Linked DNA regions of Elephas maximus indicus. Each later gene encodes a partner of the first gene's protein in a complex. Links are inferred from orthologs where the notes say so. Each region holds a gene or a part of one and is shown in the gene's direction. Other genes may lie near its edges.

Region 1 (8,263 bases):
AAAGTCAGGAAAGGTGTGCGTCAGGGTTGTATTCTTTCACCATACCTATTCGATCTGTATGCTGAGTGAATAACACGAGAAGCTGGACTATATGAAGAACAGCAGGGCATCAGGATTGGAGGAAGATTCAGTAACAACCTGCGTTATGCAGATGACACGACCTTGCTTGCCGAAAGGGAAGAGGACTTGAAGCACTTACTAATGAAGATCAAAGACCACAGCCTTCAGTATGGATTGCACCTCAACATGAAGAAAACAAAAATCCTCACAACTGGACCAATGAGCAAAGATTGAAGTTGTCAAGGATTTCATTTTACTTGGATCCACAATCAACAGGCATGGAAACAGCAGTCAAGAAATCAAAAGATGCATTGCATTGGGTAAATCTGCTGCAAAGGACCTCCTTAAAGTGTTGAAGAACAAAGATGTCACCTTGAAGATTAAAGTGCGCCTGACCCAAGCCATGGTATTTTCAATCACATCATATGCATGTGAAAGCTGGACAATGAATAAGGAAGACCGAAGAAGAACTGATGCCTTTGAGTTGTGGTGTTGGGGAAGAATATTGAATATACCATGGACTGTCAAAAGAACGAACAAATCTGTCTTGGAAGAAGTACAGCCAGAATGCTCCTTAGAGGCAAGGATGGTGAGACTGCGTCTTACATACTTTGGACATGTTTTCGGGAGGGATCGGTCCCTGGAGAAGGACATCATGCTTGGCAGAGTACAGGGTCAGCGGAAAAGAGGAAGACCCTCAACGAGGTGGATTGACACAGTGGCTGCAACAATGAGCTCAAGCATAACAACGATTGTAATGATGGCTCAGGACTGGGCAGTGTTTCGTTCTGTTGTGCATAGGGTCGCTATGAGTCAGAACCAACTCGATGGCACCTAACAACAACTCTCTTTCTGTCTCTCTTTAACAATGCTTCAGTTTCCAAAATGACTTCACATAAATTAACTCATCTAATCCACAGTTCATAAGGCAGGTAGAACTATTTGACAGATAAGGAAAGAAGGAATAAAAAAGTCTGAAGATGTTTCTGTAACTTCTACCCTCTATTCAGTTGTGCTTTTCTGGTAGCTTCTTAGCAAAAGAGGGACATGTTTGGCTCCCTCTCCTATGGGATTATTTTTCCTTCCAGATGCCAAGTGAAGCGTAGTTCAAGGAGCTTTTGCCAGGTAAAGTGAGGACTCTCTGGGACTCAAAAATGGTGCCAGTTTAAGTAGTTCTATTTAGAATTCATGACCTGGTCACAGCTTGGGGACACAGCACTTCATTCAGGAAAGTTTTCCACAGAAGCCTCTCTTTTTTTTTTTTAACTTTAGGTGAAAGTTTACAGCTCAAGTTAATCTCTCCTACAAAATTTTATACAGGTATTGTTATTTGACATTAGCTGCAGTCCTTACATTGTGACAGCACACTCCTCCTTTCTACCTCAGGTTTCCCGTGGCCATCCAACCAGCTCCTGCCCCTTTCTGCCTTCTCATCCTGCCTCCAGATAGGAGCTGCCCATTTGGTCTTGTGTATCTGCTTGAACTAAGAAGCACACTCTTTAGGAGTATTATTTTATGTTTTATAGTCCAGTCTAATCTTTGTCTGAAGAGTGGACATTGGGAATGGTTTTAGTTCTGGGTTAGCAGAGCATCCGGGGGCCATGGCTTCAGAGGTTCTTCCAGTCTCAGTCAGACCATTAAGTCTGGTCTTTTTATGTGACGCTTTTTTCCCACCCCGTCAGGGACTTCCTGTTGTGTTCCCCGTCAGGGCGGTCATTGGTGGTAGCCGGGCACCATCTAGTTTTTCTAGTCACAGGCTGATGGATTCTCTGGTTTATGTGGTCATTTTTTTCTCTTGAGTAGTATTTCCCTTGTGTCTTTGGTGTTCCTTCATTCTCCTTTACTCCAAGTGGGTTGGGGCCAATGAATATATTTTAGAGGGCCGATTACAAGCTTTTAAGATCCCGGATGCCACTCACCAAAGTGAGACGCAGAACATTTTCTTAATAAACTTTGTTATGCCAGTTGACCTAGAGGTCCCCTGAAACTATGGTCCCCAGACCCCAGCCCTGGCTACTCTGTCCCTTGAAGTGTTTGGTTGTATTCAGGAAACTTCTTAGCTTTTGGGTTAGTCCAGTTACCACACAAGCATTTATTTAAAAAAAAAAACAAAAAAAAAAGCCGTGTTACCTGTGGATATTGAATTTGAACAAGCAAGAAAAACTGGAAGCAATGCACATGTCCATCAACAGGTGACTAGATAAGCAATGGAATACTACTCATGAGCTTTGATACCTTGAATTTCAAAATAATTATGTTGAATGAAAGGCTAAAAAAAAAAAGAATACATAATATGTGATTCCATTTATATGAAATTGTAGAAATGCAAACTAATCTATAGTAACAAAGTTTTTCAGTGATTGACTGGAAATGGGAGCAGTGGTAATGGGTGGGGGGGAATTACAAAGGGCCACAAGGAAACTTTCTGGGGTGATGACTATGTTCATTATCTTGATGGTGGTGATGGTTTTATGGGTGTTTTTGTATGCTAAAACTTACCAGATTTTATACCTTAAACATGTGCTCAACAAAGCTGTTAAAATAGATTGAATATAAAAATTTTGAAAACACAGGAAAGTACACAGAAAATGAAAATAACCTATGTTGCCACATATGTTATCACATCGATTCAGAGATAAAACCTATTAAGAGGTCAGTGTATTTCATTCCAGTCTCTTCTCTATACACACACACACACGCAGAACCACTTGTGTATTCAATTATATCACAGCATTTTTCCATGTCTTTAAAAATTCTTCTTAGTATTATTAAGCACAAATATTAGTGGTCTCTCCATATTCTATCCTATGTATACCCGTTATTCAGTTAGCCACTTTCTTATTGGCTGTTTCACAAATTTGGTTAGTCCTAACTTTTCATGTTTGAAAGTATCACTGCTGGTAACATCATCATACATATATCTTTGTCTAAATATGTGATTACTTTCTTAGGATCTATTCTTGGAAGTGGAATTACTGAACCAAAACCTTCCCCTTTCCTGAATGTAGTTGAAACGGTATAGGGCATTGGAAGGTCTAAAAAATAATTTTCCAGGTGATAGAGTTTATGATAAGTCAGTCTTAGAACTTGACCAAGCTGTGTTCACTGAAACTAGATGTCTGCTTGCATGCTGGGCTGTGTGAGATTACCGATTTTATCTAAGAAGTCTCTCAACATTTGTCCTTTTCCTGTAAATTCCTTAGTTTTTCCTATAAAGTTGGCTCCGTTCAGCTTGGATGAAATGCTAATTTAGAAATGGTATTACTGGATATGAGAGGGAACTGGGGCAAAGGACAGGAAGGTAGGTAGGAGAAAACAGCAACATGGTGGCTCTGGATTTATTAATTTACAACAAAGGCTTTTTAAGCACCTACTGGGTGGGACAATGGGGCCCTGGTTGTGCAGTGGTTAAGAGATCATGCTGCTAACCAAAATGTCTGCAGTTCAAATCCACCAGCTGCTCCTTGGAAACCCTATGAAGCAGTTCTACACTGTCCTATAGGGTCGCTTCGATCAACTCGACGGCAACTGGTTTGGTTTTGGTTTAGGTGGGACAATATTGGTCCTGGAGAGACAAAAATGGATAAGGTGTCTCCAAGCATGTCACAACATAGTAACAGGTAATTATTACATATCACCTCCTAGATGTCTAATGAGCATCTCAAACTTGACATGTCCAAAACAAAAATCTTCCCCAAAACCTGTTCTTTCTCTAAGGCTTCCCTATTTTAATAACTGAGACAACCATCCACCCAGTTGTTCAAATAAAAAATCTAGGACTCATCGTTTATTCTTCAGTGCCTTATCCTCCACATTCCAGCTTATCAGCAAATCTTCTCAACTCTACCTACACAATATAGAAATATCAGCCTTAGTCCAAACTGCCATCATCTCCATTAAAATGGCCTCCTAACCTGCCTACCTTCATCTACTCTCTCAACTCTCCAATCCCTTATCCAAGAGGAGCCAGAGTGGTCTTTCAAACATCAGATCATGCCACCACCTTGGTTGACACCCTCTGATAGTTTTCCGATTCACTTAAAATCGAAGCTCCTTTCCGTGACTTTGAAGGCTCTGCCTCATCTGACCCTCATCTCCTTCCACTTTTTCCCGGACTCACTCTGTTCCAGCCACAATGACCTCAGGGCCCCCGACACGTAGCTGGTCCTTCTACCCGTGTTACCGCCATGAACCTTTACTTCTTCCAGAACTCATTAAAAGTGTATCTTCATGTCTGTCTTCCTTGGCCAGCCTACTGAAAATAGTCGCATTTCCCCTTCCCCAGTCTCCAGCCACCATTCACCCTCTAATCCTTTACACTTTTTTGTTTCCTCACAGTACTTTTTTCCCTGTTATGTTTATTTGCGTGCCTCTCCCACTAGGCTCTATGTAAGTACCCATGCAAAAATTTGACTTGCTTCCCATTTTTTTCCCATTCTATCCCACTGCCTGGAAAAAATGGAGCAGAGGAAATATTCATTAAAAGTTTGTTGAATGACTAATTAGTACTTCTCACTACTGTAACTGCTTTATTTATTCATCTGTTTGTTTAGTGTATGTCTGTCCCCATGTGAATGTACACTCCAGGAAAACCAGGACTTTGTTCATCTTGTTCACCGCTATATCCCCAAAGCCTGGAACAGGGCTATAACAGAGGTAAGTGCAAAGCGAAGTTACAGCGATGGAGGGGGCAAACTAAACTAACCGAAGGAGCCAAGGGGAGACCTCACAGATAAAAATGACATTTAAATTGGGACTGGAAGGAAGACGTGGAAACAAAAAACGCAGAGAAGGAAAAGAATATTTCAGGCAAACGGAATCTCGCGAGGTGACGGGCAGTCAAGATGGCGTCCAGCGCCTGCCGCCACACGTAATATGGCGACCAGGGAAAGTTCCTGGAGGAAATCACGCGAGAATTGGGTCACGGCGACAGTCCGAGAATTGAGCCGGGGGTGTGGAGCAGCCAAGATGGAGCCGGCAGCCGGCGGCCCAATCCCGATGATGGTGAACAACAAGCAGCCGCAGCCGCCGCCACCTCCGCCGCCCGCATCCGCGCAGCCTCCACCTGGGGCACCGCGGGCCGGCGGGGGCCTCCTGCCCGGGGGCAAAGCCCGAGAGTTCAACCGCAACCAGCGCAAAGACTCGGAGGTCGGGAGCTCGGGGGGCGAGGCTGGCATCGGGCGGGCGGCTGTGGAGGTCCTGGACTTGGGGCCGCTCTGGGGTCTAAGCTCGCTTCCTAGAGCGGTCGACGGGCCTGGCCGGGAGGCTGTCACTTTACGAGAGAAGCAGGAAGCAAGGCTGGCACCCCCCTCGGGCCGGGGGCGTGAAGCCGGGATCCCGCCCGGATCCCTGCCGCACGGGAGAACCGCCCGGAGCCGGGTGATCGCTGGTTTGCTGCTCTGGGACGGGGCTGTGGGCGCTGCCTGGGGGACCCAGCCCCTAGGGAAAGCTCCCCATCCCAGTTCGCGGGTGAAGAGTCAGCGGTCTTCGTGCTCTCTAGGGGGCCAAGGTGGCTGCGCCCCCATCCCCTGATCGTCGTCTCTCGGCTGCTGATCCCAGGCGCGCGGGCGCCGGGTCGGTGGATCCGCAGCGCGCTGTGGACCGCGTGTGTGGGCAGGGAAGGGACTGGCCAGTGTTTAAAAGGCTCTTTGAAGCCGGACGGAGCTAATTATCACTAATAGTACTAGCTCCCAGAGGTTGCAAGAATGGGAGGGAGTAACACTCCCTGTTTCTCTCCTTAGCAGGCTCAGGCCATGATGTGACAGTGTTTGGTGGCTGCTGTGCTCAGTGCGCCTGATGCTGAACTGTTAAGATCAGGAATGTACATTTTCAACGTTCCTTAGGGCTCCTCTTCCCCCTCCCCTCTTGCTAGTGGGCTGTTCCTCCAGTACCAGAGACTGTAATCCTCTAGTCTGGAGCTGGTCGATTCGTAACCTCACCCCGAGTTAAAGAATTCCTCCCACTGCCTCCTTTTGTAGAATTCATGAATGAAGACACACACTTGGCAGCGTTTTAGGACTTCTTAATCAGCATGTTCCCAGGCACTTACTATGAGGTCGGCTTCACCTGAGACAACTCAGAGGAAGCTGATCAAGCGGTCAGGCTCTTATTTATGAGCAAGAATTCATCATTGTCCAAGAAAAACTATCGGGTCATTCCAAAGAGTGATGATACTATCTTTAGACCTGTGAAATCAGTTCCTCGCAGACTTCTGTTTTTTGTTGACGGTCCTAAAGTCTGGTAAAATATGTCAAAATTTGGCAAGTCCAAAGTAGAGGTACCCTGAGCTTGAAGTGAATTGTTTAAAAATCAAAGAAATTGACCTTTCAGGAACCCTTGCATGGTGGGGTGGTGGGAGGGCCATGGCGAGGACTTGATACCTTTTTAGGTGTGGAGGGTTGTGAAAATGCACCTCTCAAGATGGTGTCTTCTTAATAATCACCTATTCCTTTGCCGAATTCTCCTCTGTGTGGGGGAGGGAAGCCATTCTGTGAGGCTGCTGCCTTTTCCGTCTGTCAGTTCTCACTGAAATTGGGGAGAGGGACAAGAAGGCTGAAGCGCTTCAACACCCACTTTGTCCTGAGCTGCTGATAGCCCAGTAGCCAGAAAGACGTGAGACTTCCAGAATCTTAGCACCGTGCAGAGTGGTCATTCAGTGCACAAAATACAGAGAAGCTTTGTGTTCACTGATCTAACAAGCACTTATTTGAGACATAAACTATTAATTCATTCACTCATTCATGCCAGGTACTTTGCTGGGCATTGTGAAATCTTTGGTGAACAAAATGGACAAGTTCCTGCTTTCAAGGAACTTGCACCCTCCTGGAGAGATAGACACTAAACAAAAATTCTGACACCGAAAAAGTGCTATGAGGGAAAAGTATAAGATGCTCTGAGAGGGTTCCCTGGGTGATGCACGTGGTTAATGTGCTGAGTTACTAACTGAAAGGTTGGAGGTTTGAGTGTACACAGAGGCACCTCAGAAGAAAGGCCTGGCAATCTGCATCTGAAAAATCAGCCATTGAAAATCCCACGGAGCACAGTTCTACTCTGACACACATGCAGTCGCCATGAGTCAGAATCGATGACACCTGGTTTCATAAGCTAGGACAGGAAACAAAGTATTTTGATAAAACATCAAAAAAGTGGAGACAGTGATGTTCTATAACACAACATTGTGTCTGGAGAGCATATGTCTCTTTCTTTTAACAATGCTCGGAATGATCTTTTGCATAAAGCTCTCTCTTTTTCTCAGCAGGGCTATTCCGAGTCGCCAGACCTTGAGTTTGAGTATGCAGACACAGACAAGTGGGCTGCAGAGCTCTCTGGTAAAGCACAGAACTTTGTATTGGTTGGGAATGGAAGAAATAGATTTTTTTTTTCCTTATCGATATATTCTTTCAGAAAATTAAGAGTGTAAATATATTTTGGAAGTTTCTTTTTCTTTAATTAGTGCTACTAATAAGATATATAAAACACGTAACCGTATTTTTACATAAATGACGCGTGCCTTCTATGTTTGTTTGCCAGCCTTGCCCTTTCCCTGGGAGATATTTTCAGCTGTCAAAAAAAAAAAAAAGGTAGCGTAGTGTGCTTATGGAAATACCTGGTAGGGGGTAGAGGGAGTGTGCAGTTGGCAAAAAAAAAACACAGAAGGTATGCATTATTTGTGTAAAAATACAGTAATTTAATTCAAGCCTTCAGTGTCTCATGACTTGGGGTTGCCCATCACTTTTATGAAGCATCTGTGTGTAGTCAGCTCAGTTAGCTGTAGGGTTCAGTCCCAATGTGGGGACAGCTAGTGATGTTCTCTCCATAAATTATCCCCCAGCAGTGATCTGTCCTCGGGCAGTGGGTCACAAGGGATGCCAGCAAGTGCGACTATGTCAGTGCATACCCATCGCTGCTGCTGCAGCACACCTGTGATGTGAGGCCAGCTTAAGCTGTTTCTCAAGCCTCCATAGTACAGGAGGTAGTGCCTACTTGAGAGACACATGTTCAGGGTAGTGGTCACCCTCAGGTATGGCATGGAGGGATGGATGTGCATCAGACTGGAAATGCCCGGACTTCTGCTTAACTGGAATTCTGGTTATCAGCTGCGAGGCAAGTCAGCCTTCTCTCATCACACACCTGAGAGCGCTAAGGCCCCGTAGGTAGTTAGCATAATCCAGGAGTCACTGTGACTCACGGGCAGAGTTAGGAC
Region 2 (7,348 bases), on another chromosome or scaffold:
AATACAATCTTGAGGTTCCTTTTTGAAATCAGTCATCTTCGATGTTGGTTTTCTTATGGCCGCGGGACAGTGTTGTGTGACAATGAGTTTATGTGAGACTTGCCAGCGGGCACGGAATGCTGGCCATGGCTGAGCCCTGCCTTGTTTAGTGCCCTGTGGTCACTGCCTTGGCAGATGTCTCCCTGCTTGCCAAGGGCAGTTCGTAGCCAAGTTTACAGCAGCGAAGTAGAGCTCTTACTGAGACAGAACGCTCGTGAGCAGACGTGAAACAAACTATGGCTAAGTTTACAGGTGGCAGGCTCCTGGAGAAGGTCTTCTGGGAGGATAGTAAAAGTAGTAGGAACAGCTGTCTCCTAAGCTGTCTTAGACTAGGAAAAGGGAAAAACAAGCAGTTTATTAAAATGAAACACCTTCCCCCCCTCCCAGAGCATGGAACATCTGCCTTTTTTCCCTCCAGGAATGGATGTTTTCCTACTGTACTGAAAAATACTGAATTCAGCTATCTATTATTGTGTAACAAGTCACCCGAAACTTTCTGGCCTAAAACAGGAATGACTCAGGAGTTCTGGAGATTCTTTGGGTCGACTGGGGGTCCTCCTGCAGTCTCGCCTGGGCTCACTCATGTGGCCGTAGTGGCAGACTTCTGGGGCCAGGGCTCAGCAGGAACAGAGAGGTGGGTAGGCTGAGCACCTTGTTCCATGCCCAGCAGTGGGCCGGAGTGTTTACCTTAGTACCTCTGTTCTTCCACGTGTGGCTTCTGTCCTGGGCTAGATGGGCCTCTTTATGTGTTGGGGAAGCATTCCAAGAAGTCAAAAGTGAAACCTACAGATTCTCTTAAGGCTTGACCTTGCAAATAGCAAACATCACAGGAAGTCACAAGGCGAGGCCAGATTCAGGGGGCGGGAAAGGGCCTCTGCCTTTTTGTGGAAGGAGGAGGTAGAGTTGCATAGGAGTGTGGACGTGGTGGTCAAAAAAAAAAAAACAACAAACCAAAACTGTTGCCAATCGAGTTGTTTCGGACTCACTGCGATCCTGTAGGACAGAGTAGAACTGCCCCATAGGGTTTCTGAGGAGCAGTTGGTGGATTTGAACTGCTGACCTTTTGGTTAGCAGCTGAGCTCTTAACCACTGAGCCACCAAGGCAATGGACATGGCAGCCGGGGTCGTTTTTTTGGGGCCCTGACTGTAACTATTGACTCCAGTTTGCCTTCTGGTCCTAAGGATCGATGTCTCTCCCACATGCAAGGTATGCATGTCTCTCTCCCGTACCCTCCTTTCCTCCTGGCGTAGCCTCCGACTCAGTCTGTAATCTCTCATCTGCATTGTGTCTGAATGCATGGGAGCTGATAGGTGGCAACTCCGTGGGCATGGTCTCTTGATTCAGAGAGGTGTAAGGAGAAAGACGTACCTGCCCCCCCATATATCCCGCGAACAGCGGCAAGACAGGAACAGAATAACTGCAGGGGATACTTCTGTTTCAGAGGGGGAGGCGTGAGAGGCATATATCAGTAAACAAACGGAGTTAAAGAGTACATAGCAGTTCAGCAGTCCAGGTGGCACAAGCTGCCTGGGTCCCGTCCATGCGGAGCAGGGAGTATTTCTTAATTGAGGCTCAGGTTTGCTTTCTGAGAGTGGTATGCCACAGCACCTGACAACCGCAGCAGCGTGGTTCCCTAGCTGGTTTTCTGGGAGTCTTGGGCTCTTGGCTCTGCCCTCCCAGGCCTGTCCTCAGATGCTCACAACATCACTTTTGCTACATCCTCTTTAGTAGCTTTCTCAGCCTGCTTCCTGCTTGTAGAAAGTTGGGGACCTAGAGGATATTTTGATATGAACTGTCTCGCTGCCTTTTAATCCAGATTTGATTAAAAACATTGAGGGTTTCCTGTGTACCAGTTTATAGTCCACTAACTGGATAAACACCACATCTACAGTACTTTTGAGATATAAGTATCTTTCTACTTTGGAAGTGTGTCAGGGCACGGTTGGATGACGTCCTTAAGTTTGTTAAAAGCCCATTTTTAGTTGAGAGTCTCTACTGGTCACTGCCTTGAATTTTCCAGGGTCTTGAAGAAGGAGCTTAACAGCCACACCTTTGGCTTGATCTCTACCCTAAGGCCTTTCCTTTAGGATCTTTACTGGCTTGAGGAACTCCTAGGTAAAGCACAGTTTTATTTTGTAGCCCAGCAAGTCCTGTCCATATTTCCGTATTTTCTCTAAATTGTTTTTAAACTGAACACTTCCTGCTTTAGTATATATCTCTTCCTACTAAGCAAAACAAACAAACAAAACAAAACCAAACCTCGTTGGTCCTTTCAACATTCTATCTAGAAATCTCTTTAGCCATTTCTTTTTCCTTTTTCCTGCAGTTCTTTTTCCTTTTTCCTGCAGTGACATTTTCCTAATTGTTCCGCCACTACATACCATGGGTCGTTCTTTACCAGCCTCTAATAAGTTTCTTACCACCTCTCCCTGCACTAACAGTTTATTTGCCATTCCTCTACCCTGTGCGAATGGCCTCCTCACACTGCTTTTACAGCCTTTGGCCAGTCCAGTCCCAAAGCCACTGCCTCCATATTTTAGGCTTCTTTTAAGGGCAGTACTGGCACACTGGTTAAGAGCTTGGCTAACCAAAAGGTTAGCTGCTCCTTGGAAACCCTATGAGGCAGTTCTACTCTGCCCTATGAGGTTGTTGTGAGTCAGAATCAACTCCATGGCAACAGGTGGTTTTTGTTACCGTACTTCTAGGTATCAATTTCTGTATCAATTATCTATTTCCTATAACAAACCAACTGAAACCTAGTTATAACAACGATTAACTAGTTCTCACCATTCTGTGGATTGACTGGGCGGTTCTGCTGGCCTTTTCCGGGCTCCCTCATGTGGCTGCAATCAGCTAGTGGCTACAGTGAGCGTGTGGCTGCATGATTGAGGCTGGATGGTCTATGGTGACCTCATTCACATATCCGGGATCTGAAGTAGGATCAGTGAAGTGGCTGGGATGGGCCTCGCTCACTGCACGGTCTTTGATTCTGAGCTTTTTCACTGCCTGGTCGTCGCACGGTTGGAAGAAGGGAGTGTTGCAAGGCCTCTTGATGCCTTGGCTTGGCAGCCCCACATCATCACATCTGCCAGGTTCTACTGGTCAAAACAGGTAACAAGGCCAGCCAAGGTTCAAGAGATGGGGAAGTAGACTCTATTTCTTGACTTGGAGGGAGGAGTGCCAAAGCCATGGTGTAAAGAGGGTGTGGGCACTGGGAGGCATGGCAGTCTATCAGAGTTTCCAGTCAAGCACCTTTCCAGCATTGTAGGGGCTTGGATAAATTCTTGTTGGCTTCTTTTTCTTATTTAACTCTCAGAAAGGACATGCTACTTTTTTTCTTAATATGGGCAGGGGAATAGTCAGGTTGAAGTTGACCTAAAACAAGTCATTTTTTAGTGGCACATCGACTTGTCAAAGCTGTTTTGCTTCTCTTCACGTTTTGTCTAAGCAGCGGCTCTCAAAGTGTGATCCCTGGACCACCAGCATCTGCATCTCCTGGAAACTCTCTAATTCTTGGCCTCCACCCCACATTTACCAAATTCAGAAATTCTGGAAATGCCCCTCCCCAGATCTGTGTTCTAACAAGCCCTCCAGGTGACCCTGATGCAGACTGAGATTTGCGAACGACTGCTCCCAACTTAGCAAAGTCAGGCCCTCATCACCTGTTCCTTACCCTTGTTAGCCAGAGATGTTGTCATCCTTATGCCCCTTTTCCCAGGGCCTCCTGTCTCTCTGAATTAGGATATTCTCTGTAATACTAACCAGAATCTCATTTGTGTCACTGTAAACCTGGGGTTTCCTTATTGTTGAGGGAAAGTTTATTGACCATCAGTGACATGCCGTAGATACAGAGTTTAAAAAAGGGGATGGGTGAGAAGCAGGGAGAAGATGGCAGGGAGGGTCCAGTTCAACAGGTAAAATGGCAGATTCACTCTGTCCATGTTGACCTTGAGATGTCCAGGTAGAGAGAGACAATATCTAGTAATTGGTACTAGGAGTTAAAACTCAAAAGGCAGTGCTGGAGATAACAATTTGAAAGTTATCATTTACACAATAATTTTAAACAGTTTCTCTACTGAGATGGCTGTTCATGATGATCAATAGGAGCATTTTAAAAGGTGGATTGTGTGCTTTCCCCCATGTATGTCTGCAAGCGTGCTGGGATCTCTTTCTTTAAGTTTCCCAGGTGACTTTCACCAGGCAGGTTTGGGAAGCACGGCCCCCAGCCATGGGCCTGTGTATGACAACCCTGGGAAGGACAGGAGGCCAGGTGTAGAGTCTTGGGGACTGTCTGCGTGGAAGGTCTGGCAAGGGTAGAGTCTACAAGTGAAGATTTCTGTTAGAAGGACTAGGGAGGTTGGACAAAGACAGTGCAGAGCAGGGTTGCAGCTGCCAAGGGAGTGGAAAGTTCAGAGGAGTGTGTGGCTACTGAGTGTATAGCTTGCCACAGAGGAGATGCAGAAATGGCGTCATCGGTGCCCATGCGAAAGCTGATTCAGGGCTGTGATGAGGGCAGAGCCAGGCTGCAGTGGGCTGAGGAGTGAGTCCGGTGGTAGGTGGAGACTTGGCTGGTCCTGATGACTTTCAGGGGACCTCCTCTTGAACGGAACTACAGAGGAAGGAGTGAAGGAATGACCAGGGTCAAGGACTTTTTTTTTTTACTGAAGAAACTTGAGCACGTTGATATGACAAGGGCAAAGAGCCAGTAGAGTGGGATAAATTGAAGTTGGTGAAGCTGTATCCTGGAGGAGAGAAGGATGGATTCTAAAGCCCAGCTTTTAGGATTGGTCTTGAAAAAGAAGAGGGTCATCCTACCTCATCCTGGGAGGAAGGAGGTAAGGGAAAGATTGTAGCTGTGGAAAGTGAGCGTCAGCCACTCACTGCTGTATTTGTTTGTACTTAAATAAGGAAATGAATGTTTCTTCTGTCTCCCCACCCCCTAGAATCCTTTAATCCTTAGCAGTTTGTGTCGGAGATGACGGTGACAGTGGAGATTCAGTCTGGGCAGGTGTATGCAGGCTGAGTGGAATGGGACACACCCACCAAGGGTTCCTTGGGATTCAGTGGGAGTGGCCCCCAAAATTGCTTTGAAGGGTTCTTAATTTGGAGTACTTTATAAATTTGAAAACAGTAATTCTTATTTCTAATTGTATGAATAGAGGATATTTTAGGGGTTTCCACTAGCTTCAAAAACAATCCTCACTTAATAAAAACTACCCAGGGCTCCTGACTGCTTGTCAGTGATTATCTTGGTAAACCAAGGAATCAAGGTCAGTGTTTTGTAAAGTCTGGAATGCATATTCAGGCATCCTGGGTCCATTTGGTATATAAAAGACGTTAGAAACCCAACTCCATGATTGAAAACTGTTTAGAAATTGCTTAAGAAAAAAAAATGCATCTCAATATTAATAACCCGGTCGATGTATTTAGTGCAGTACTTCAAGTGGAAATGAAGGTGAACAGATAGTTTCATTTTCTGCAGATGAATGTTTGTTTCATTTTATGAGCTAAGGGAATCCTGGTTAAAAGTATGGTACTTGTAATTCCTGGCAGTTTTTTAAACCATACATTAAGGAGGCCAGCCCACTTCCAGAGCAGGCAGAACTCTAAATGACACCGTCTCTATCGTGTCCTTTTTTTCCTAGCAACCCCAGAGCGTACCTTGTTCATTTTTACTGACTTGGTTGCTGGGTTTTATGAGCTTTTACATTGCTCAGTGTGAAGCCTCACCATAGCGCTTGGACTCTACCTCACTTTGTGTTAACAAAGTCACCCTTGTATGACCGTGGTATGTTATTTTCACAGTGTATGTAGACTATGGAAACCCTGGTGGCATAGTGGTTAAGTGTTACGGCTGCTGACTGAAGGGTTGGCAGTTCAAATCTGCCAGGCGCTCCTTGGAAACTTTATGGGGCAGTTCTGCTGTGTCCTATAGGGTCGCTATGAGTCGGAATCAACTCCATGGCACTGGGTTTTGGTTTTTGGTTCACGTAGAGTATAGCACAGCAAGGCCTCCAAATTGGAAATGTGCTGTTTTTGACGAGTTCCTTCTCAGTCGGTTTGCTTGGAGCTCAGTGTGCTTCACCTTCGAAAGCAAGTTAGTGGTTAGCACCTGGTCAGCCCATAAAGCTCATTTAACTCGTTGTTGTTAGTTGTCAGCATGCTGCTGAGACTACCCTAATATTGTGTAGATGACCCACTTCAGTTTGCTGGTCTATGGGTATCTCATCTTCCCTTTATTCTTCCTTCTCTTTCTTGTCTTTCTTTTTCTCATTTTCAATCCTTTTTTCCCCCTTGTTTCTTTTTTCATAATATTTCAGTTTCTTTGAGTGATTAGTAGACTTCTGAGGGTTAGCCTGGAATCCTCTTCCTCATAGGGGATGTTTGTGAGAGAAGATGTATTTTGTAGGGTTGACAACTCCTTATCCTGTGGGGTTCTGTTGGCCCAGGTTAGTGCTTCTCAGCAGGGTGTCATTGGCATTTTGTGTTTCTCTCAAAGTTTTATTTCTTTTGTTGCTGTTGTTGAGCATATACACAGCAAAACATACACCAATTCAATAGTTTCTACATGTGCAATTTAGTGACAGTGATTAATTCTTTGAGTTGGGCAACCATTCTCACCCTCCTTTTCTGAGTTGTTCTTCCCCCATTAACATAAATTCACTGCCCCCTAAGGTTCCTATCTAACCTTTCAAGTTACTGTTGTTAGTCTGATCCCTTTAGGTAGTTTGTAAAGAGCATAATGCTCAAGGCGAACCTTTTTTACTGGTTAATTAAGCTAAACTATTGTTCCGTTTTAAGATGACTTCAGGGGATATTTTTGCTTCAAAGTTTAAAGATTATCTCAGGGCAATAGTTTCAGGGGTTCATTTGCCCTCCATGGCTCCAGAAATTCTACAGTCCATGAGAATTTGAAATTCTGTATTACATTTTCCCCCCTTTGATCAGGATTCTTCTATGAAATCCTCAATCAAAATGTTCAGTGATAGTAGCTGGGCACCATCCAGTTCTTCTGGTCTCATGTCAAGGAGGCAGTCGTTCATGGAGACAATTAGGCACACATTCCATATCTTCCTCCTACTCCTGACTCCTCCTTCCTCTGTTGCTCTGGGTAAATAGAGATCAGTTGTTGTGCTTTGGATGGCTGCTTGGAAGCTCTTAAGACCCCAGACACTATGCAACAAAATAGGAGCTAGGAAAGAAGCACTAAACATGTTATTAGGGCAACTAACTGGGATGTCTCATGAAACCATGACTATAAACCTCCAAACCAAGGAACCAGAATGCCACGATGCCTAAGCCACTACT
Region 3 (7,625 bases), on another chromosome or scaffold:
AGGTCCGTAAAGCCAAGGCAGGCTGTGTCCCACGTGCCCAACTCTACCCACAATGCCCTGTGCCTGGGGTCCTGCCTTAGTCTTCCTGCCTCCTCTTTCTCCTCCCACCAGGAGTCGCCTCCCACCCCTCTTTACTCATCCCAATCCTGCTTGCTCTTCCTTTATCCAACTCAGACAGCACTTAAGAATCTGAATTGCACATTAGGAGTGATTTTCTAATCTTTAAACAAACAAAAAACAAAAAGTTGCCATCAAGTTGATTCCAACTCCTGGAGACACCATGGATGTCAGAGTACACCTGCGCTCTGTAGGGTTTTCAATGGCTGTGATGTTTCAGAAACAGATCCGCAGGCCTTTCTTCTGAGGTGCCTTTGGATGGATTCGAACCACCAACCTTTATGGTTAGTAGCCAAGCACTTAAACTTTTGCACCATCCAGGGGCTCTTAAACCAAAAAAAGCCAAACCCACTGCCGTCCAGTTGATTCTGACTCATAGCGACCCTAAAGGACAGAGTAGAACTGCCCCATAGGGTTTCCAAGGAGCAGCTGGTGGATTCGAACTGCTGACCTTTTGGTTAGCAGCCATAGCACTTAACCACTACACCACCAGGGATCCTGCCGGGCACATTACAGGGGCTTAATAGTGTTGAAAGAATGAAATAAATTATTAAGATGGGGAACGTGTCACTCAGAGACAGAAAAGGACACAGAGACCAGAGCCCAGCCATGCTATGTCTGCAGACTCTGGACCAGGAGGCGTACCCCAGGACAGGCACCAGGTCCCCAGAGGGTTTGATGCCCCGATGAGGAGGTGCTACCTGCTGGTGAGGGTGTGAGGGGACCAGAGAGGAGAAAGGAAGCCTTCTGGAACCCTGACAAGGTCAGTCTTGGCTTCCCTAACTGTGTTGTTGTATACCATTGAGTCAGTTCTGACCCACAGCGACCCCATATGACAGAGTAGATCTGCCCCATAGGGTTTCCTAGGCTGGAATTGTTATGGATGCAGATTGCCAGGTCTTTCTCCCACAGAGCTGCTGGGTGAGCTTGAACCACCAACCTTTCGGTTAGCAGCTGAGCACTTAACCACTGCACCACCAGGGCTTCTTCATTGGGGCACGGCGTATGGAATGATTTTGAAGGTCCAAATATTCTACATTTTTTTGAATCAGGATGATATGATAGTATCAACAATTCTACCAGCTCACAATGTACCAGATCCTGTTCTAAGCACTTTGTATGTATTCACTTGTTTAATCCTCATGTAATGGTCACACTTAGAGATGAAGAAACTGAGGCACAGAGAAGTGAAGTCACTTGTTCAAGGTCACACAGCTGGCCTTAACCCAAAGAAGGCTGGCTCCAGAGTCTGTGCTCTATAAACCAATGAACTCCACTGTCTCTCACTGGTCCAGTCAGCCAGCCTGACCCTCAGTCTGTCTTTGGCATACCTTCCCCAGCCCTAACCATTCAACTCATCAACTCGACAAACAGATATTTATCAAGTGCCCTCTGTGCCAGACCCTGTGTTCTGGGGACACAGGGATGAACAAGATAGTCACTGGGTGTTATGGATTGAATTGTATTCCCCCCAAAATATGTGTTGTAAACCCTAGACCCTATACAGGCAGTCCCTGACTTACGATGGGTTTCTGTTCTGATGAGTCTGTCGTAGGTCGGTTCTGACATAAGTTGGTGTAAGTCAAATATCTTTTTTTTCTTTTACGTTTTCATAGCCTGCTATATATGGCAGTGTTTTGAACACACTGAACCTCTGCGAGTGAACGTCTGAGAATGACATCAGCATATTACATGCTGCGACACTGTATGTAGTACGTTACTAATGATAAGATGTACCAAAAAGAAAAAAAGAAAAATGGTTGTAAGTATGGTTCCTCATAACTGGAAACTCAAGTATATCATAAATCGGGGACCACCCGTGGATACGGAATCCTGGTGGCGCAGTGGTTAAGAGCTATGGCTGCTAACCAAAAGGTCGGCAGTTTGAATCTACCAGGTGCTCCTTGGAAACCCTATGGGGCAGTTCTACTCTGTCCTACAGGGTCACTGTGAAGCTATGAATCGGAATCAACTTGATGGCAACAGGTAACCTGTGGATGTAATCCTATTTGGGAATAGGACCTTCTTTGTTATGTTAATGAGACAACATTAGTATAGGGTGTGTTTTAAGCCAATCAGTTTTGAGATTCAAAAAGAGATTAGGCACAGAGAGGGAAGGACAAACACAGAAGACAGACATCACAAGATCTCCAAGGAACCCTGGACCAGAAGTTTAATAAAATAAAGATCTTTTTCCAGAGGCCACAGAGAGGGAGCCTTCCCCTAGAGCCAGTGTCCTGAATTCAGACTTCTAGCCTCCGGAACTGTTAAGACCTGGCAGCATTTTGTTCTGCTGCCCATAAGGTCACTGTGAGTTGGAACTAACTCCACAGTACCTAACGAAGATAGACTGTGAGAAAACAAATTTCTGTTTCTTAAAGCCACCTACTTGTGGTACTTCTATTATATCAGCACTAAGAAACTGAGACACTGGATCTGTCCTGGCAAGGTAAGAAAAAAAAAAAAAAAAAAAAACCCACAGGTGTCGAGTCGATTTTGACTCATAGTGACCCCATAGGGTTTCCAAGACTATAATCTCTACAGAAGCAGACTGCCACATCTTTCTCCCAAGGAGCTGCTGCTGGTTTCAAAACACTGACCTTTAGGTTAGCAGTAGATCACTTTAACTGCTGCGCCACAGATAAGGAGGAAAACAGAGGGCCGTAACAGAGAAAAACAAGGGGCTTGCTTTAGAAAATGTGGTCAGGGAAGGAGAGGACAGTTAAGCTAAGACCTTATTTGTCTCCCCATTTCCCACAAAACATTTTAAGTGGATCCCAAGTCACTTTAGGCCTGGGTTCCCTAGGCCCGAGCTTTGATCTGGCCTGAGCCTCAGTTGCTGCATCTGTAGGATAGGAATGTGAGGGTAGAGAAAATGAGGTGTGTGGGAAAGGCTTTGTGAAAGAAGACACGGCAGTTTCTATGCAAGTGCTGGAGGCATTGAGAGGCTTTTTTTCTCTTACCTCCTAGGTTGCACGGTGGGGGGACTCCCGGGGGGTGGTTCCAGCACAGCTCAGCTGCATTGCTGTGGGAAGGAGAACCAGAGAACCCCAAATCAGCCAATTCTGGAGAATAGAGCACCTGAAAACCAAAAACCAAACCCACTGCCATCACGTCAATTTGAACTCATAGTGACCCTATGACCCTAGGGCTTCCAAGGCTGTAAATCTTCAGTGAAGCAGACTGCCACATCTTTCTCCACTGGTGGGTTTGAGCTGCCGACTTTTTGGTTAGCAGCTGAGTGCTTAACCACTGCACCACCAGGGCTCCTTAGTACACAGCACGGTTTCATCTTATCTACAAAAGTGGCAACAAGAGGATCGGGAAATCCTTTCTCTGGATGCCCCATAAGCTCAGGCACCACCTGGCGCGTCTCAGGAGGGGGAGAGGGTGGAGTGGGAAGGATGTCAGTTACCATAGCAATCTGTAACCTCCCCTCTCATGAATGTGTCCAGAAAGGTGGGGCTAGAAGTGACAGAAGCTGTTACCATGACAACCCCTTCCCTAGACATGTTCCAACTCAAAAGACAATCCTAAAATGTCCCCTACCTTGGTAGGGTTCTGGGGCCTGGTTCTAGGGTCACTGGAAGGGGACTGACCCTGCTACCATAGCAACCAGGGCTTGGTTTTGCCTGTTTCTCACCTCCCTGGGGATGGTCCAGGCCCTGTAACCATAACAACTACTCCTCATCAGAGCATCTCTTCCTCTAAATAAAAACACCTGGTTGGTTTGGCCCAGGGGCCTCCCACGAAGGAAAAGAGGGTGATGGTTACCATGGCAACTCCAACTGGGTGGTGTGGGGGGTTAAGGAAAAGGTGCTTCTCAGCCATTAGTCTTCTTGGGGCTCGGGGTCTCTTCTACCTGGGTGCTAGGTGAGGAGGAATGCCATAGTAACCGAGGTCGGTCGTTAGGGGCAGAAGGCCCATCAGGACCAAGATTACCTTAGCACCTCCTCCAGGTATGTGGGGGTCCATAGCCACAAAGGTGGGGGAGAGGAAAGACGCGCGGGGGGGGGCCCTAGGCTGGGGGGAAGGGTTACCATGACAACCGCCCTGGGCCAGGAAATCAGGAAGGTGCCACGGCCGAAACCACCCCCCCGTGGTCACCCTTTCTCTCAAAGAGCGAAAGTGATTGTCGAGGGGAGTGGTATTTGGGGCTGGAGAGGGTAAGACACTCTCTATTGGGCGACGCGAGAGGAGGGGGCAAAAAGTGGCCCCTCCCAAAGACTCGCTTCTCCGAACGGGGAGCCTCGCGCCCCGCCCACCCTTCCCGCCCACCCCCGCGCGCGCTTTCGGGGTCGACCCCGGTGGGCGAGGCGCGCGCCCGGCCTCGCTCTCGTTTGCTGCCCCTCCACCTCCCGCCGGGCGCGCGCGCAGAGGTTGGCGCGGCCGCGCAGGCGCGCGAGGCACAGCGGGCGCGCGGGCCGGCCCCGGGGCCTCCATGATGGAGGAGCGAGCGGCCGCTGCGGTCGCCGCCGCCGCCTCCTCCTGCCGCCCGCTGGGCTCCGGTGCGGGCCCTGGCCCGAGCGGGGCGGCCCCGGCCCCTGCCCCTGCCTCCGGGCCCGGCCCGGCAGGTAAGGGTGGTGGCGGCGGAGGCAGCCCCGGGCCCACAGCGGGGCCGGAGCCCCTGAGCTTGCCCGGGATCCTGCACTTTATCCAGCATGAGTGGGCGCGCTTCGAAGCTGAGAAGGCCCGCTGGGAGGCCGAACGCGCCGAGTTGCAGGTGAGCGCCGCCCCGGGACCCCGGCACCCCCACCCGGCCCCCCGCCCGGCCCCCGGCCCCCGGCCCGGCCCGGCCCGGCCTCGCCTCACCCGCCGCCGCCGCCGCCGCCATCTTGGAGCAATGGCCGCCGGGACAGCCGGGGGGGCGGGAGGGGACCGCTGCCGGCTCGCACAGGGAGTGAGGGGACGTCTGAGGGGGATCCTGAGGGAATCTGGGGGCTGGGACCGGCTCTAACTGGGTGTAGGGGAGACCCGGGGGCCGGAGGGACCGACTGGGACCGGCAGAGAGAAAGGGGCGGGAGGAGACCTGACCCGGCCAGCAGTGGGAGTGAGCCGCCCGGCCGAGGGGTTCCCCAGGGAAGGGGACTTGGGGCGGGAGGGGAACCTAAGGGAACTCACAGGAAGACTGTGAGAGGCGTTTGAGGGGTCTGAGAGAGATCCGAGTGGTTTCGCATGGAAGTGAGCAAAAGCTTGCAGGCAGCCGAAGGGGTACCGAGGGACTCCCACCTCCTCCCCGACCAACCGAGGGATGGAGGTGGAGTCTGATGGTTCCGGGTGGGAGAGAGGGGATGTCTACGAGGACTTGGGACCCGCTGAGGGCGCGGACGAGTCCGAGCGGGGAACCGGGATGATAGAGAGGGTGTCAGAAGCCTGGGATGGGGCATGTTTGGGAGCGTTTGGACGGGAGCACTAAAAGATGTCTGTGTGAGGACTGGAGTTAGAGGCGGATCCGACGGGTCCAGGATGGAGGTGTGTACCCTCCCCTGTAGGGAGAAAACTTTGGCGAGTTGTGGCATGTATGGTCACAGTTTGGGGAAGGGATCCTTTGCATGGAGATTTGGACAGGGCAGAGGATGTCCCCTAGGAGCCTGTGTGGAAGAGCTTGAGAAGGAAACTCCAGTTTGGGGGTGTGGAGGAGTAGGGGGCTGGCCGTGAGACGGGAGACGTGCGGAGGATGTTAGATAGAGAACCTTAAGCTGGAGAGGTGGGGTGTCAGGCATGCATACTGTAGAAAGGAGGAGACCTGGGATGGGGGCAGTGAGGAGGCATCTGGGGAGGAGGCATCTCAGAAGGATCCTGGGGGAAATGTGTTTGTGGAGTAGTTTGGAAGAGGGATGTGCCCTGGGATGATGGGTGGAAGCAGCCGGGGAGTTGGGCTGGGTTTTGTGACCTTGAGGAGCATGGGTCCATTTGCACAGTGCTTATTTTTTTTTAGTGGATCCTGGGGATCAGAGATGTGAGAATCTGAAGGGGTCCAGGGACAGCATGAGGTGTCTGAGGGTTCCTGGCCTGGGGTATTATTGGTAGAGGTTGTCAGTACCTGCTTCTAGCAGCCCGTCTTTCCTCAGCTGATTTGCTGTTTCCTATGTACCTGAGGTGGAGACTTAAATAAATAAATAACAAAAATTTTATCTATAGTGTGAATAGAGGCCTCTCTCCTCCAAATTCAAGGTATCTGAATACATCCCACAGTTCTCCGACCCCACTGGGCATCTTAGCTGTGTGGTAGCGGAGGTTCGGGGCTGGGCTGGGGGAGGAATCCTTATGTAAGTGCCCCTCGCTTCTGTGTTCATTTCTGTACTCTTCAAGCTCTTTCCCAGTTTACATGCCATTGGATCCTCTCAACACCCCATGAGGTAGGCAGGGCCATCGTCATTACCCTCATAATGATAAAACCAAAAAAATCAAACCCATTGCTGGAGAGTTGATTCCGACTCATAGCAACCCTGTAGGACAGAGTAGAACTTGCCCCATGGGGTTTCCAAGGCTGTAATCTTTCCGGAAGCAGACAGCTGCATCTTGCTCCTGCAGAGTGGCTGGTGGGTTCATACTGAGTGCTTAACCACTGTGCCACCAGGGCTCCTTCGATAATGATAGCAGCTGCCAATTATTGAGCATTTATAATGTGCTAGGCAGTGTATTAAGTACTTTAAATACACGCTATCATTTAATCCTTGCAATAGTCTGGGAGAGTGAGTGATATTTAGCCCCTCCCCCCATAAAAAAATCAGAAGAGGAAACAGACTTGAAGAGGGTAAATAATTTATCTAGGATCACAGCCCGTAAGCGGCAGAGCTGGCCTTTGGACTTTGAACCCATGTTCCGTACCTCTCTGCCACCGAGTACAGATGAGAAGACTGCCCTAGGGAAGCTCAGTGGCCTCCCAGAGTCACCCAAACAGTCAAAGTAGAGCTTGGACTGAATCCTGGTCTCTTGGGCCACACGCCTGTGTACCCGGCAGCACCCACCATACCACCTTCTCATCTTTGAGACTAACGAGTATAAAAACGTATGTGTACTCCCTCACGTGGTGACTCTTGAAGTTTAAGAGAACAGGTGGGTGGCACCCAGGAAGGCTGACCCCATCACTTACTTTGTACTTTTCTTTTGTTCTGTTACCCAGTTGCTGTGGAGTCGAGCTCGTGGCAACCCCATGTGTGTCAGTAGAACCGTGCTCCATAGGGTTTTCAGTGGCTGATTTTTCAGAAGTAGATCACCAGGCCTTTCTTCTGAGGCGCCTCTGAGTGGACTACAGCCTTTTGGTTAGCAGCTGAGCGCGGTAACCATTTGCACCACCCATGGATTCCTTTTGTTCTGTTACACACTAGTAAAAATTCAAACATCTCACAAGTGTACATATGATTAAAAAGGGAAAGCCCCCCCCTTGCTCCTTCCTTCACCCCTTCCTTACTCTTCTCTCCAGCACTTCTCAACGGTTATTTCTATAAAAGTAGTTCAGTTGTATGTGTGTATTTAATATATGAGATAATACTATCTGTATCACT
Region 4 (7,886 bases), on another chromosome or scaffold:
TGTGCAGAGTAGAACTTCTCCATAGGATTTTCGAGGCTGTGACCTTTCGGAAGCAGATTGCCAGGCCTGTCTTCTGAGGTGCCTCTGTGTAGGTTCAAGTGCTTAGCCATTTGCACCACCCAGGGACTCCAAGGTTCATATCTGGCACTTTAAAAGATAGCGTCCTGTGATCCTGAACTCAAGCAGTGCTAAGAAGTATGTGGTTGTTGATTTTAAATCTTATTTTTTTTTCTTCTGGCAGTAATTTCACTAGGAATATTTTCTTTTTTTCTTCTGGCAGTATCTTCACTAGGAAATACTCAACAAACTTTTTAGGCAATAGTCATAGGGCAAATGCGAAATCTTAATATAGGCGATCGTACTAAAACAGTAATTTAAGGCTCATGAAACCACAAGAGAATGACTTTTATTTATATGTACTCTGCTTATTAGATAACAGGTAATAGTAGTAATCCAGAAAAGTATTTCATCTTTGGAAAAAAAACCAAAAAACCTGTTGCTATCGAGTCGATTCTGACTTATAGCAAACCTGTAGGACAGAGCAGAACTGCCCCATAAGGTTTCCAAGGCTGTCATGTTTACAGAAGCAGACTGCCACATCTTTGTCCCGTGGAGTGGCTGGTGGTGGGTCCGAACTGCCGATTTTTCGGTTAGCAGCTGACCACTTAACCACTGCACCACCAGGGCTCCTTTCATCTCTAGCTTGGAAGAGTTAATCTGCACAATTTAAATAGGTAGCTGACTAGGTGTAGCTCTCGTTAGTTTTTAGTACATTTTGTTAGGCTAAAGTTTTTAGTTACTGCCTGCGATTAATTGTAAGGATAGCCTGGGTTCACTACTGGTCACTCCTGCTACTTCTACTTGAGGATTTGAAGGGGGTAGGAAGTCTTCCTTTCTAAGCCTTGATACCAATAGCACATTCTTTGCTAATCATTTCCTGCATACCCTCCTTATCAGTGAGTAGGCAAAAACACTGGCTAGTCCTTGAAAAGTGTAAAAGTATCTTATAGCTGAAAGCATTCATAGTACGGACTTTATAGGACAGGGAGGAAGGTACAAAACATAATCTGAGTTTAGCCTTGCTCAGCTTGATTCCAATTCTTGAAGGTTCTTTCAGGCCACCTGCGCTCAACGCTTCCTGGTCAAATTCTCTGAGAAGTCTACCTTCTCTTCCCTAAATCTATTATGCTTTCATTCTCAGTCCCAGACAACTGGTCTTATTTAGCTCCCCCAGATTCAAAGAAATTAGATTCTGTATCTTTGGGTATTTCTCACCTTTGGCTCTCCAGGTCTTCATTCTGGTAGAATCCCAAAGTTAATTCTAACTCTTCCTGCAGTCTTCTTATTTCTCCTGATCACTTATTTTTTTTTTTAAAGTATTTTCTTGCTATTGTTGAGAATATACACAGCAAAACATACACCAATTCAACAGTTTCTAGATGTACCATCTAGTGGTACATCCTACCCCTGGTAACCACTAATAAACTTTGTTCTCTGTACATTTGCCTTTTCTTGTCTTTTTATATAAGTGAGATCATACAATATTTGTCTTTCTATGATTGACTTATTTCACTCAGCATAATGCCCCCTCAACAAGTTGGACTCCTTTTCTATTAACTGACTAGATCTAAAATTTTACTCTTTGTCAGTGTTGGAAGTTACCTTAAAACTCTGTCACCAGTCACAATATACCCTAATATTACATGGACTATATTGGGTAAAAAGATGTTCAAGAACACATACACGGAGTTGCTTGTGTTTTGGTAAAGATTATGTTTCTAGTCTTATTTAAGGTTAAATAGTAATTCTAGACATGAATACTTAGAAGAAGTACTAAAAGCTTAAATTTTTAAGTACTGGTTTTTTTGGGGTTATATATTTTTTTATGTATATAGGAAATCCTGGTGGCATAGTGGTTAAGAGCTACAGTTGTTAACCAAAAGGTCAGCAGTTTGAATCCACCAAGTGCTCCTTGGAAACCCTATGGGGCAGTTCTACTCTGTCCTCTAGGGTTGCTATGAGTTGGAATTGGCAACAGGTTTTTTTTGGGGGGGGGGGGGGAGCGGGGGGATGATATGTATATATACCAAAGTTCTCTTGGTTTTATTTTAATCTCCAAGTTGTTCATGTCTAGTGTACAGGGTTAGAAGAGAGCTGTGTGCTTGCCTGAGAAAAAGAGGGTAATTAGTTTCCTTTTAATCCTGGATACAAATTTCAGATCTGTCTGGTCAGTGGTTCCCAAAGGCTGATCTCAACACTGATACCAAAACGACTGTGTAAGAATCATTTGGTGTGCTTTAAAAAAAAAAATGCTGATTTATGGGCTCCAATCTCAGAGATTCTCAATCAGTAGGTTTGGAGTGGGGCCTAGGTATGTACATCTTTTTTAAAAAAAACTGTATAGGTAATTTCAATGTGCAGCCAGGATTGGCAAGCACTAGAGAACCTTTAAGAGTTCTTCTAGCCGTCTGTTTCTATGAGTGAGTAGGCAAGAGGCCTTCTCTCATCTGCTGCTGATTTTCCACAGGCGACGGGCAAGATGACCGCTTTTCATTTTTTCCTTTGGGGCTTCCAAAGAGTATTCCCATACTGATTAGTAGTAGTCGTTGTTGTTGCTTAATGGTATTAATACCTTCTGTCTATGACTTACTGGATTCCTGGTGGGCTGGTGGTTAAGCATTAGGGTGCTAACCCAAAAGGTCAGCAGTTCGAATCCACCAAGCACTCCTTGGAAACCCTATGAGGCAGTTCTACTTTGTCCTATAGGGTCGCTATGAGTCAGAACCAGCTCGATGGCACCTAACAACAAGAACATGCAAGGGCTGGGTTGGGCCTATGACTTAAATTTGTAACAGTCTACTTACAGTTGAAGTCTCCAAATCCATACCAAAGGACCAGTAAAGAAGGTCCAGGAATAATGTGAATGCCCTAAGGTGGATCTCAGAGGCTTTCATTTTCATAAATCCATTTTTGCAGGGCATATACAAATCATACACCATTTGTTGTAAATTAATATGAGGTTAATTTAGTGGTTCCTACTATTTGCTACAGAATTTAAAGCTCCTTTCTGGGCTACTGCTTCCAGAAGGCAATGCAAACACAGATGCAACAGTAACCGTTAATTATGCATAAAAAGGTTTAGAAATTTTAATATTCGTAAAAGAATATTTGATTTAGGTATGTAGAGAGCTGACTTGATTTTCTTCGAGAGCTGTCTTGATTTTCTTCCAGGCTCTGAAGAGTAGTGTGAATGATTGAGCAAACCAGTTTCTTTATACAGATGGTCTTTTAATTGCATTCTTTGGGATTTTTACAAGTTATTTACTTGAATTTTGCCCTTTCCCTAAAAAAAAGAAAGGAAATCTGTCTTAATAACTACTTAGGATACCTTGATTTAATAAGCCAGTGAGATGGTGAACAGGAAATTAGATCTTTGGGATTATCTGTGAAAGATTTGGAGTCTCTGGGTGGTACAAATGGTTAACATGCTCAGCTCCTAACAGGAAGGGTGAAGGTTCAAATCCATTTGTAGATGCCTTGAAGAAAGGCCTGGCAATCTACTTCAGAAAAATCAGCCATTGAAAACTATGGAGCACCGTTCTACGCTGAGACACATGGAGTTACTATGAGTCAGAATCGACTAAATGGCAACTGTTTTGTTTTTTAAATCAGGGATATAAAACAAAACAAAACCCATTGCTGTTGAGTCAATTCTGATGCATAGCGACCCTATGGGACAGACTAGAACTTCCCAGAGAGTTAGGAATTGATAAATAGGACAGGGACCTGTATCCCTCAGGGAGATGAGGAGTGGGAAGTGCAAACGTTTCTGTCTCCAACTTGGTATTCCTTGATTGAAAATCTTTAACTATATTGATGAGTTGGGATTCACTTCAGAGCTTCTTTAAAACGCAAAATGTGACTTGGTTTTTAAGTCTTTGATCTACACACTTTCAGGAACTCATTTAGTACAGAAAGCAAGGAACAGCTTTATCCCCCCTGGAGCTGATTGTTTTAGTCATAGCCTTTTAAAACACTAATTAGGAAGATTGGGATTTAATCTTTGTTTTTTACAACAGATGATTTTTTTTTCTTTTAATTTTTTTATTGTGCTTTAGGTGAAAATCCAACTGACAATTCTTGTTATAAGTTAATGAATATACTTCTCAATCCAGAATGTGTTATCCATTTCTGTTTTAGAAAGTACATATATATTTTTAACCAGCGACTTATTTCCAAATTTTAGACTAGCTTTGCAGCTGCATCAGGACAACTGAAAGATTATTTCTTTTTATTTTTCAAAGCCCACTGAATTTAGGAAGTTATAGGGAGGCAAACCCATCACTAAGATATTTGATGGGTATTTTTGCCACAAGGTACTAGAAAGGCAACAACCATCACCAGAAGTAGAAAGAGGTAACTGTGAGTTAACCACTGTGTAATAGTAATCAGCATGAAGTACAATGTCATGGTAAGAGAGAGAATGCCAAGGAAATTAATAATGATGGTACTCAAGTTTTTGAGAATGTATTATAACAAAATATGAGCGTTAAAGAGGCATTTGCAACCTACTGGAAGTCTAAACTAGTTTTAAATGGATATATGGGAAACTCAAGATATATTTACTCCGTGTGGGACTAGAGGTGGGTAGGAATACACAAGTAGCTTGCAACATCAGAGACTGCTACGTGGAAAGGGCATCTTTCAGAAAAGAACAAAATCCAATCAAGGAGAATGGGGAAGCTTATAACGTAAGCAGGTCGTGTGCAAACTGTACTTTAAGCAGGCTGAAAAAAGAAAAATTGGTGAAATTCTTTAAAAGCAGTCATAAGTCTTCAAGTTACCTCAAAAGGAGGCAGCTCACTGGAGTAGCAGTGGATCTATTTGGTAATCATGGCACCAAGAACTTGATCAGAGACAAATAATAAATTTTAATGGCCTATTTGTCTAGTAAAGGAAGATACCTTTGTTGTTGTTAGGTGCCGTCAAGTCAGTTCCAACTCATAGCGACCCTATAGGGCAGAGTAGAACTGCCCCACAGGGTTTCCAAGGAGCTGCTGGTGGATTCGAACTGCCGACCATTTGGTTAGTGGCTGAGCTCTTAACCACTACACCACCAGGGTCCAAGGAAGATATTAGGAATGTGCTAACTCTATAATTATCTCTTGAAACTGATGGCTAAGTAAAATGGTGGTAAATGAACAGATATTCTAGGCCTGACTGGCAAATTAAATATAGACAGCTCACCAGAGCTAGATAGAATCCTCCTATATTTTGAAGGTACTCAAAGTAAAATTTTAGATATAAACTAATAAAGCACTTAAGTATAATTTATTAAACTGTCTTTTCGGTGGGGGAGGGAGACTCAATCCTGAGTTTCTACTTGGTCAGTAGTGTATCTTCAATATGAGTTAACGTAAAGATATAAAGATTGTTTCATCCAAGTGAAATTTTAATTCAAAATTGTATATTACAACATAAAGGATATAGTTTCTGAATCAGAAAAGAATATCAAATGTATAAATCTAAGTCATGCCTGTACATTTGTTAACCTAGAAACCTATGCTTGAGTTCAGGTTTTATCGCAGCAAAGTGTCGACTTCTGTATTCTCACTGTGAGATGAGTTGTGAAAGGAATTGTGACAAAGGAATAATAGCGTCTTATTTCAGCCTTGGACTAGACCAGTACGTGCCGATAGGATCCTGAGTTTTTGTTTCTGTTTTTTTTTTTTTTTTCCTTAAGTTTAAATTCTTGAATCTATTGTGTTCTGTGTCGTTTGGATGGTGGTTTGGAAGTATACGGGGAATGATTGAGATGTGTGAGTTGGGGAATAAATTACCACAAACTAGGTGGCTTTAAAACAGATATTTATTCTCTCACAGTTATGGAGGCCAGAAGTCTGAAATCAAGGTGTCAGCACGGTTGGTTCCCTCGGAGGCTCTCAGAGTCCATTCCATACCTGTCTCCTAGCTTCAGGCGATGGTTGCTGGCAATCCTTGGTATTCCTTGGCTTGTAGGTGCATCACTCCAGCCTCTGCCTCTGACTTCTCCCCTATATGCGTCTCTACCTCAAATCTCTCTCTGCCTTTCTCTTATATGAACACCTACCATTGGACTTTGGCACAGTACTTAAGTGCTCAGTCACTAACTGAACAGTAGGCGGTTCGAACCCACCAGCCTGTCTGTGGGAGAAAAATGTGGCAGTCTGCTTTCGTAAAGATTACAGCCTCGGAAACCCTAGGAGGCAGTTCTACTTTGTCCTACATGGTTGCTGTACATTAGAATCGACTCAGCGGCAGTGGGTTTGGGTTTGGATCATTGGATTTAGGGCCCCCCCCAGAAAATCTAGGATGATCTCATCTCGAGATCCTAACTTAATTACCTCTGCAAAGGCCCTTTTCCCAAATAAGGTCACATTCAGAACTTTGGGGGGGTTAGGATTTGGGCATATCTTTTGGGGGGCCACTATTCAACCCACTACACTTAATTTAGCTGTTCTCTCTCTCACCATTGCTACCCTTCTATTAAAGTGTAAACTGAATATGACCAGCTGCTGATTCTAAGAAGTGCTTGATCCTTTGGCAGGGAGCTCAGACAACATTTGCTGTATGGGATTGTTTGTGGTAGGAAGATCAGCTAATCCCAGTTAGTGTGAATGATTCAATAGAATATAGACTAGTGGATCATTGAGGATTACAATTGTTCTAACAAAGCACATGCGGCAAGTCAAAGGACTTCTTTTTATGCTTTTAAAAAATGTGTTACTGTCTTATGTGATTTATTTTTCTTCATTTAAAAACATTTGATTCAAAGCACTTGTCTTTTTTTTTTCCTCTTTATCTCTTTTCCCCCTTAGAATAATATAGCCGATCCAGAAGAACTGTTCACAAAATTAGAACGCATTGGGAAAGGCTCCTTTGGAGAAGTTTTCAAAGGCATTGATAACCGTACCCAGCAAGTGGTTGCTATTAAAATCATAGACCTAGAGGAAGCCGAAGATGAAATTGAAGACATTCAGCAAGAGATAACTGTTTTGAGTCAGTGTGACAGCTCATACGTAACGAAATACTATGGGTCATATTTAAAGGTAATATGTGTGCTATATTATTTAAGTCATAAGGTATTTTCATTATAAGTTTAACGTATTATTATTTCTTTTTAACTTAATGTTTTTTTTTAATTCATTTTTTTTTGAAAGGTAATGTCTTAAATTAAGATTTGGCAGCCTTTGTCCCCCAGGCAGACCCCAGCTCCATTTATAGTGCCAAATAGACTGTTGTTACATTTAGCAGCTGTATCCTGAGTGCATCCCAGTTCTCAGCTGCACCCTTTTTCCACACCTCAACTTTTGGTGGGATGAAGGAGCAGAAATGCAGCTGGACCTTCAGATGTATCCTTTGTCAGGAAAGAGCTATACCCCTGGGCTTTCACACATGACTCTCCATGGTTCTGCCTGTCTCAACCTCAGAACTGATGGAAAACGTAAGCATATCGCTTACTTCATTGAGTTATGGGAGGTTATTTACATACCTGTCTTTCCCGCCAGGTTGTGAGCTCTTTGATGGCGGAGATTTTTGCTTAACCGTTCTTGATTTTTGTATCACTTAGCACAGGACCTGGCACATCTTAAGCTCATGATAAATATTTGCTGAGATGAAATTAAATGGAATAATATCTGCCCCCACCCCCCCAAAAAAAAATAAGTTGAATTTTTACTGGTTCCAGGATCATGGAGTTAGCAGACACCTAAAGTTCCAGCAGATGGAGATGTTACTGCACAATAGAAAACTCTTTATTTAGTTAGTAAAACCCAAGAGTTCTTGGGTTCCAGAGTTAAAAGTCAGGATTTGTGTCTATTGAAATGTGAAGTATAAATAGCTGAAAA

The links.
Region 2: STRIP1 (region 1) and STK24 share a complex: the UniProt entries of both Homo sapiens proteins name them as parts of the core of STRIPAK complex. The link is inferred for Elephas maximus indicus from reciprocal best matches to the Homo sapiens genes STRIP1 and STK24.
Region 3: STRIP1 (region 1) and STRN4 share a complex: the UniProt entries of both Homo sapiens proteins name them as parts of the core of STRIPAK complex. The link is inferred for Elephas maximus indicus from reciprocal best matches to the Homo sapiens genes STRIP1 and STRN4.
Region 4: STRIP1 (region 1) and STK26 share a complex: the UniProt entries of both Homo sapiens proteins name them as parts of the core of STRIPAK complex. The link is inferred for Elephas maximus indicus from reciprocal best matches to the Homo sapiens genes STRIP1 and STK26.

What each region holds. Positions count from the first base shown.
Region 1 is NC_064821.1:171,316,250-171,324,512, reverse strand, and holds the start of STRIP1 (striatin-interacting protein 1), read left to right. Parts: upstream 1-5,004; 5' UTR 5,005-5,028; coding exon 5,029-5,208; intron 5,209-7,315; coding exon 7,316-7,388; intron 7,389-8,263. UniProt on the Homo sapiens protein: Plays a role in the regulation of cell morphology and cytoskeletal organization. Required in the cortical actin filament dynamics and cell shape. Part of the striatin-interacting phosphatase and kinase (STRIPAK) complexes.
Region 2 is NC_064832.1:93,223,127-93,230,474, reverse strand, and holds the start of STK24 (serine/threonine-protein kinase 24), read left to right. Parts: upstream 1-3,933; 5' UTR 3,934-4,797; coding exon 4,798-4,875; intron 4,876-7,348. UniProt on the Homo sapiens protein: Serine/threonine-protein kinase that acts on both serine and threonine residues and promotes apoptosis in response to stress stimuli and caspase activation.
Region 3 is NC_064829.1:102,263,498-102,271,122, forward strand, and holds the start of STRN4 (striatin-4), read left to right. Parts: upstream 1-4,423; 5' UTR 4,424-4,558; coding exon 4,559-4,840; intron 4,841-4,929; exon of another isoform or gene 4,930-4,967; intron 4,968-7,625. Other genes in the region: ribitol 5-phosphate transferase FKRP, read right to left, coding at 3,081-3,228. UniProt on the Homo sapiens protein: Calmodulin-binding scaffolding protein which is the center of the striatin-interacting phosphatase and kinase (STRIPAK) complexes.
Region 4 is NC_064846.1:24,086,446-24,094,331, reverse strand, and holds the start of STK26 (serine/threonine-protein kinase 26), read left to right. Parts: upstream 1-4,453; coding exon 4,454-4,471; intron 4,472-6,857; coding exon 6,858-7,088; intron 7,089-7,886. UniProt on the Homo sapiens protein: Serine/threonine-protein kinase that acts as a mediator of cell growth. Modulates apoptosis. In association with STK24 negatively regulates Golgi reorientation in polarized cell migration upon RHO activation.